2 linked regions of the Caenorhabditis elegans genome follow. The protein of the gene in region 2 interacts with the protein of the main gene of each other region in a pairwise test. Each region holds a gene or a part of one and is shown on either strand. Other genes may lie near its edges.

Evidence for each region.
Region 1: the proteins of F26H11.4 (region 2) and F54D10.7 interact in a two-hybrid assay, tested with the Caenorhabditis elegans proteins (2 studies listed by BioGRID).

What each region holds. Positions count from the first base shown.
Region 1 is NC_003280.10:3,819,603-3,823,304, reverse strand, and holds F54D10.7 (Ubiquitin-like domain-containing protein), read left to right. Parts: upstream 1-2,008; 5' UTR 2,009-2,023; coding exon 2,024-2,134; intron 2,135-2,184; coding exon 2,185-2,604; intron 2,605-2,819; coding exon 2,820-3,083; 3' UTR 3,084-3,156; downstream 3,157-3,702.
Region 2 is NC_003280.10:14,406,389-14,411,387, forward strand, and holds F26H11.4 (ULP_PROTEASE domain-containing protein), read left to right. Parts: upstream 1-2,223; 5' UTR 2,224-2,362; coding exon 2,363-2,397; intron 2,398-2,443; coding exon 2,444-2,717; intron 2,718-2,869; coding exon 2,870-3,097; intron 3,098-3,116; exon of another isoform or gene 3,117-3,180; intron 3,181-3,324; coding exon 3,325-3,524; intron 3,525-3,571; coding exon 3,572-4,025; intron 4,026-4,077; coding exon 4,078-4,169; intron 4,170-4,210; coding exon 4,211-4,421; 3' UTR 4,422-4,454; downstream 4,455-4,999. Other genes in the region: nurf-1 (DDT domain-containing protein), read left to right, coding at 1-81, 133-554, 605-784, 833-963, 1,012-1,370; dsb-2 (Double-Strand Break factor), read left to right, coding at 4,714-4,776, 4,820-4,938, 4,993-4,999.

The sequences.
Region 1 (3,702 bases), about 11 Mb from region 2:
CAAGTTTTGCTCATAAAACTCTTCATATCCAACGTATCGACTTGAAATTTTAAAAAATGCTCACTTTTTTGAGGTCTCTACAATGTCCTAAAAAATCTTTCAAAAAAGCCTGTCCATCTCCAAAATCGTCCTCCGCTCCAAAATAAGAAATGGGACTTTTGCTTTTCGAAAAATAGGCGAAAAAATTAAATTGCGATTTTTGGGTCGAAAAAAATATTTTTAGAAAGCTGAGAACACGCTATTTACGAATTTCATGTTCATTTTAGGTGGTTCCTTTTCTGAAATGACCTAAAAATTTAACAAAAAGAACATAATTTTAATTCTCACGTCAATTTTTTATTCGCAAGAAAACAATTGAAGCACTGAGCAACATGCCAAAAAATTTTACGTGAGAATTAAAATTATGTTCTTTTTGTTTAATTTTTAGGTCATTTCAGAGAAGGAATCAATTAAAATGAACACGAAATTCGTAAATAGCGTGTTCTCAGCTTTCTAAAAATATTTTTTTCGACCCAAAAATCGCAATTTGATTTTTTCGCCCATTTCTCGAGAAGCAAAAGTCCGATTTCATTTTTCGGAGCGAAGGACGATTTTGGAGATGGGCAGGATTTTTTGAAAGATTTTTTAGGACATTGTAGAGACCTCAAAAAAGTGATCATTTTTCAAAATTTCAAGTTTTTACGTTGGATATGAAGAGTTTTATGAGCGAAATTGGATTTTTTCGAAAAACGGTCTGTAACTTGGCGGAACATGAAAATATCAAAAATCTTAAAACTAATAAAACGTGGAGAAATATTTTTTACTTTTTATCCAACAAAATTTATCTTTTCAAATTTGATGGGCGTAGGGTTATGACGGGTACAGCAAAGGAGTTCTCAAAATTTTTTGTGATTTTTGGTAAAATGGCTTTGATGTCTCTACTTAACTCTACAAAAAGTTGGTGTATTGAGATAAAAATTAATGAATTAAAAAGAAAAAATATTTCTGATCATTTTGTTAGTTAAACATTTGTTTTCCAGATGTGTATTTTTCGAGATACGTCAGTTTGAAGATGCACAAAAAAAATCAATTTTAAAACAAATTAAAATCATCATTATTGGCAGCAGAGAGTCTCTGCTGCCAATAATGATGATTTTGGGGTGTGCGGCAAATTTGCCGAATTTGCCGAATTTGCCGAGCACGGCAAATTTCAAAAAAGTAGATTTGCCGAATTTGCCGAGCTCGGCAAATTTCGAAATTTGCCGCATACGTCAAAAATTTGACAGTACAATGTTGACTAAAACTGTTGATTTTTTCGCCAAAAATTTAGTAAAATGACAACAAATTGAGTTATTTTGATGTTTAAGCAGACACACTACACCTAACTTGTTCAGAAACCAGAGGTGTGTTAAGAATTCAGTAGTTTTGGTGCTCCAAAAAATATCAAAAAATATATAATTTTTCCGAGTTTGTTAAGCACGGCAAATTTGCCGAATTTGCCGAATTTGCCGTGCTCGGCAAATATTGGAAAAATAGATTTGCCGAATTTGCCGAGCTCGGCAAATTTTGAGATTTGCCGCACACCCCTGGCAGAGACGGTAGACGGCAAAGAAAGAAATGCTATCTGAGTTTGCCATCTTTAGAGTATGACCGGGACTTTGCAAAATGGTCTGGGCCGGAAAGGAAATGAAAACTCGAAATTTTTATTTAGTAACTGATCGTTGAAAGATCACGTACATATTAGATGACAAGTTGCTCCGCTCATATATTGAGTTTCTGCATTTTTCATCTGTAAGGCGCAGGACAACTACATTTTTTGTGGTTCTTTGTTTTAATAATCTTCAAAAATGCCAAAAAAAAATTGATCTCCCCGCCGCGCACCAATAAAGTGGGTCACTTGCCACGAGGCGATTTCCGATCCCCTTTTACAATCGGTATGCAGGGGAGAGGCTCATTCTCTCATTGATTTGTTTTTTTGTGTGTCCTTTTCCCGTTTTTCTTGTTATTTTAAAATTTAATTAAATTCCAGAAAATAACCTCTGCAATGCCCCCAACTGTTGGAAAATCTACCAATAAAGATGGACCGTCGGATTTGATGTCGGCGTTTGAAAATTTGCGATCTGAAACTGCTGGAATCAATAATTTCCTTGAGAAAGTTTGAATTTGAATTGTATCGGCCTTATTAATATTTATTCCAAATTCCAGGGTCCCACCATCGGTTCGATCACGTCCTTGAGCATTTCCAAATTTGACAAGTTTTGTGAAAATCAGGATAAAGTCAACCAGAAACTGATGCTAGCGATTCAGAAAATGTCCATCGAACGTTCGAAGCGTCAGAAGATCCAAGACGCTTTCAACAAAGAAATGCTCGACGCAATCAGATCTATGAAGAAGGCGTTTGCTCGGGAGAAGGAGGAGTTCAGCGATGATTTGGAGATTTTCAAGGAGGAGCTGTTTGAGAAGCTTGATGAGGATAATGAGACCTCTGAAGACGAAGATGAGGAGGAGGAGAATGATGTTTTGGATGCGATCAAGTTGCTCCAAACTGGACTCGATGCTATGAAAGAGGCACAGAGGGAATTTTTCAAGAAAGTGACTGAGGATACTCAAGCCATCCGGAGAAAGGTAATTTTATGAGATGATTGTGTTCCTTACTTGAGGCTTAGGCTTAATCTTAGGCATAGGCTTAATCTCATGTTCGGCAAACGGCAAATCGGAAACTTGCCAGAAACGGCAAATCGGCCAACCGGCAATTAACCGATTCGCCGAATTTGCCGACAAAAAAATTTGTCAATTGCCGCCCACCCCTGGCCCGTAAATTTAGCAAAAAAATTATTCAGATTGGCTCGAAAAACATAAAGTTCAATGTTATCCTTCACGGAAGCCGAATCCCGATGGAACTGGACTCCCTTGACACAATCTACACGGTCGGAATGGCCCTCCTGAAGCACGGTGGCCTCGCACTGCATCGCCAACGTCTCATGCTCAATGACAAGGAGCTTCAGTATAATCAAACTCTTGAGGAAGCTGGAATTAAGGACGGTTCTGTCATCAAGCAACATACTGATGAAAAGTGTGATGAAGATTGTGAATGTTGTTGTTAATTTATTGAACTTTATTGTTGAATGTGGATATTATTATTATTTGATTAAAAGAAAGATAAATGTTTTATTCAAAAAAACGTGAATCAATTAATTTTTCTGCTACCAATTAAATTCATTTCTCCAAATCTCGGCGACCATGTCGAATTTCCGCTCGGACAATTTGATGTCTGAATTCCAAAAACTTCGCATGGAGACTGCAGATATTGGTTTGGCTCTTGGAAAGGTAACACTTATTTTGTTAGCACCTAATAAATTCTACTTTTCCAGAAGCCAGAAAACTCGGGCATTGTATCCGATTCGCAGCTTGAGAAAGTCATTGAAGAGCAGACAAAACTCAACAAGGAAATCATGGAAGCCGTTCGAAAACTGGAAGTCGAGCGAAAGGAACATCAGGCAAATCAAGAAAAATTCAATAAAGCAATGATGGAGGCTTTTCAAAAACATCGTGATGAAATGAAGGAGAGCATCCATTAAGAACGAAATTTCTCGAAAACCAGAGGCTGCTGTACATGAAAATTTGCCGACGAACGACGCGAAAATCCTCTTCCAACTGACACGTGACGGCAAGCGCGAATGGAGTGAAGCTTTGAAACAGTTCCTATTTGAAACCGAACTCGCA
Region 2 (4,999 bases):
GCTGAGGTGAAAAAGGAAGTCATAAATCCGGCTGATATCACTCTGGGCGGAGATACTTATGATTATGTCAAGGAACAGAAGGTAAGATTTCGAAAAAAGTGATTTTCCCAGTGAGACCTGAAATTTTTCCAGCCAACGGAATCAATCGCCACCAACGTTTCTCGTCGTCGCCGAACTTCTGCGAATCTCTCAAAATCTGAAGATGATCGGGACAAGCCGGAAAGCCAATCCACGGCTCCAAAGTCAAAAGAGCGTCGTACTTCGGAGCCGCCAGCGTCCCACGTGGCGTTCCACACTCCAGGATCCGCGACACCACACGACATAAACCTATCCATTGAGCATTGCACCTGTCAGAAGATTTTCGACGCGTCGAAGCTGTATATTCAGTGCGAGCTGTGCGCTCGTTGGTACCATGGCGACTGTGTTGGAGTCGCCGAGCAAACTATTTTGGGTTTGGAGCACTGGAGCTGTGAGGAATGTATTGAGGAGCAGGAGAGAGTCAAGGATCAGCCGGCGTTGTACTGTGTCTGTCAGAAGCCATATGATGATACAAAGTGAGTTTTGTTGGCATAGAAATAAGAGAATAATTCAGGTAAATTTGCAGATTCTACGTTGGGTGTGACAGCTGTCAAGGGTGGTTTCACCCGGAATGCGTTGGGACAACACGTGCCGAAGCCGAGCAGGCCGCCGATTACAACTGCCCGGCATGCACTCGAGAGGCTGAAGGCTACGAGTCGGAAGCGTCAGATGTGTCGGGTTCGAGTCGTGTTAGTGTGCAATTAACGTGAGTTCACACATTGTTAGAATTTTCAGTTTTTCGGAAAAATTTCAGACGCGCCGACTATACTCATGTCTTTGAGCTCCTCGAGCTTCTCCTCGAACACCGTATGAGCACACCATTCAGGAACCCAGTAGATTTGAATGAGTTCCCAGATTATGAGAAATTCATCAAGAAGCCTATGGGTTAGTATTTCCGAAACGTCGTCAAACTTTGCATTTGAAATTTTTCAGATCTCTCAACAATAACAAAAAAGGTTGAGCGCACCGAATACCTGTATCTATCGCAATTTGTGAACGACGTGAATCAAATGTTCGAAAATGCAAAAACCTACAATCCCAAGGGCAATGCTGTATTCAAGTGCGCCGAAACGATGCAGGAAGTGTTCGACAAAAAGTTGATAGACGTTCGCGAGCAAATGACCGCCCGTCAACAGATGCTTCTTCTAGCTACTGCTCAACAACAGGACCCGATGAGTTCTATCAGAAAGCGTGTCCAGTCGGAAAGCCAGCGAACTGTCGACTCGTTGGATATCGATTCGGATCAGCTGTTGCCACTGGATGCGAATCTTATGAGACTTTATGATTTTTGAGATTTTTCCTCTTGTTTTTTTATGTTTTTCGTAGTCACACAGTGACTTTTCACTTGTTACGTTGACAATGTTTTGTAAGAATAAAATTTCTTTTCGATTTTCAATGAAAAATGTTTAAAGCACAGGTTCACGGCTAAATAAAAACGTTCCGCTTTATGTGAAAATTCATGACAAATAATCGAATGGAGCAATTTTTGACTCAAACTATAATTTTTAATTACAACACTCTTTAAAGGCGCACACCCGTTTATTTAACAAAAAAAAAATTGTGTCGAGACCGGGTGCCGTATTTTTGGTGCAAAAATCGCATAATTTTGCATAATTTTTTATAATTTTTAGGAAAGAACAAAAAGCGGCAAAATCGACGAAAAATGTATTGAAAGCGTTTGAATTTGCAGTTTTGCCGCCTTGGTTTCCGTTGGAATTGGAGCGCGATTGCACTTTGGTTTCAAAAATTGGTCACGAAACTACATTTTTTAATGCGATAAGGTGCACACCTTTAAAGAGTACTGTACTCTGAAACATTAATTGCTGCTAAATTTCCCCGATTTTAGCTTAGTTTTTCAATAAAAACTCAAATCTAACAATAAAATGCATAATTTTTACCAAATCGTGAGAAAAACTATAGAAAATCGATTAAGTTTATCAGAAAACTAAATGTTTTAACTACAGTACTCTCTCAAGGCGCACACCCGTTCGTACTTAACAAAAGTAATTCGTGTCGAGACCGGGTACTGTATGTTTGGTGGAAAAATCGGATAATTTTGTGTCTTAAAATTATATTAAAACAAAAAAAATTAATAAAAAAGTTTGAACTTAAATTTTTTATTCCCTGTCCTCCCCCCCCCCCCCCCCCGCCTATCAATCTGACGTGTGATCTTGTTCAAAAGTTTATTTATATATATTTTCGGACCATTCGTATAAAGTTGGATGAAATCTTTTGAAGATTGAAACTTCTGGTCATTTCAATTTTTATATCACTTCGTTACAAAATGGATTCCGATCTGAAAAAAGTTCAAAAGAATAGGTAAGCCGGAGCGGTCTTGGAACGAAGAAACAACTTCTATTTTCAGTGATCAGAAACAAGTTTCAAAAAGCAAAACAGCAACTGCGCCAACTGAGCCGTTTAACAGTAAGGCTACTGAGTTGCCGTCAATTCTCAAGCCGAAGTTCCCGTCGGACAAGGTCCTGAAGAAGAAAAAATCCGGTGACATGTTTGATCTTGTAGGACAGATCGTCATCGATATCGTTGATGATAATCCTGACGATGATGACCGACAGGATGAGGCTACAACGGTGGATACTGTACAAGAAGGAATCGGAGCAACGGTCGATGTAACTCTTGTCGTGAGTTTTTGAGGAGCAGAGAGACATTGTTTTAAATGAAAAACAGTGAGCGCTTTTAAGGAGCACAAGAGTCTTTATTGCATTCAAGTTTTTTTTTAGTAATTGGAGAACATGAATCGAATATGAAATAACCGGGTAAACTAAAATTTCAGGAAGACGTCGCTGAAAAAGCACATGAGCCAGCTTCAACTCCAAATGTTGCTGACCGATTGCAAAAACCAGTTGCAAAAGATGATAATAGCGCTCCGGTAGAAGAAGCAAATAGGAAGAAGAAAGAAGGCAAAGACCCCAAGAATTCAGAAGAAGCAAAGAAGAACAGTAAGAAGGGGAAAAACGGCACAGCAAGACGATCCGCGCTGAAAGGAGTCACTATTCCACCGGTGAGCTATCTAGAAAAGGCCAAAAATTTCTGCACGAAGTGGGATTCGAACCCACGCACCCATACGAGTACCAGAAGACCCAGTAAACCATCCGTGCGGTGAGTAACGTGCAGCGAGCGAGAGTATATGAAAAGAATGACAGAGAGTGAGAGAGCTTGCGTATTCAAGAGGCTCCATAGAAAATTGACGAAAAAACACTGGGCTTTTATAAAAATTTAAATTTCCAGGTAGCAGCTTCTTTACCTTGTCCTCCACCCCCACCTCCTTTGAGTGAGCGGAAGAAGAATGTAGGCCCAAAGCCATGCGTTGGTCCAGCACAGAAAAATTTGTCGAGCCAACGGAAGCATAGCTCAAAACGAAACCGAAAAGGGCTCTTGAGAAATGTGGCTAAACTATGGGGCCGAAAGTCGGATGGCATCGCCAATCCGTGAGTTATTCAAACCAGACTGCATCCCTACCGTGAAACATTTTCAGAACTAAAGCAATGCTGTCGAAAAAGTACGTGCCACCGGATTATGGAGTGAACCCTGTCGATTTCATGCCGGACCTTGAATGTTATTTTAGCAAAAACGACATTACTGTTCGTGATAAAAACAAGTGTAGCAAAGGAGAGGTTTTTGTTGAAAAGCTCCCATTTTGGTTGGCACGACTGCCGAGTGACGATGACATTCCGAAGGCTCAAATTCAGGCTCATCGGCCGCTGAAGCAAGCATTTGAAGGAAATCCGTCATTGCTCCTTCCGAAATGCCCAAGAACACTGCCGTTTTGTGAACCGGACTCTGACACACTGGAAAAGTTTAAGCAAGTTGATAAACAGATGGGAACCGATGTACCTGAACAGGCATCGAAAAGATTGTGTACAAACACTTTTTATGGAACCCTAATGTTTGAAAAAGACAAGAGTGCGTCTGAAGAGGTGAAAAAGAAGGTAGACTTTATTGACTAGCAATATATTTTTTGCGAATTTTAAAAGTTTTCAGAAAGAGGAACCAAAGTTGAAGTCTCTCGGAGAAGAGAGTGTGAAAGTGAACTTTAGTTTCCCTCCGAAACCAATCTTGTTTATTTACTCCAGGTAAGCTTGAGACTAAGCCGAAGCCTTATGATTTTTTGCAGAAAAAATCGACCAAGACCACCGGTGAGAGAGGACGACAAAAGCCACAGCTGCAAAAAGTGCCACCCCAAAAACTTGAAACCGGAGCGAACGTTCAAAAAGTGTGAATGGGTGAAAATGAAGAAGGGCGACGAGAAAAAGACTGTGACCAACTCGGCCAACTCGAAATCTGACACGAAATCGGCTTCTTTTTCAGCAGAAGGACGGAAATAGTACTTGTAGCTTAAAATGAATTATTGAAATTGAGGGGAAACAATTTTTCGGAGAAAAACAGGAACTATTATTTAAATTAAAATATTTTCGAGAAACACAGAAACATTTTGTGTAGTACAGTAGTTAATTGAAGGGACCTGCGCGATGTTTTATGCTGGGTCTCGCAACGCGCACACATATAAAATGGCTGTTACCGTAGTTGTTTAAATTTATTTGCTCCGGAATTCGTTTAAAAAAAATTCATTTTTGATCAGTTTATTTCAATAAATATCTCAATTTTTACAGAAAAAAAATGAGTGCACGTGGCCTGAAAGTTGAGATGTACTACAAATTAGCGGAAAAAAATGAAGCAGAGGTAATTTTCGCGTAAATATGTTTTTTTTATTTGAGTTTTTCAGACTAGCGATGTCTCTATACTTATCGACGGACATAAAAGAAAGTTCGCAGTCATCTGCAATGGAATCGGAAGAGAGATGGTGGATTTACACTATGATTCCAAGAAGTTTCCGAGAATTTTGTAAGCCGAACAATTATTTTGTGTTAAATAAATTTTAAAAAAATCAATTTTCAGTTCCCGA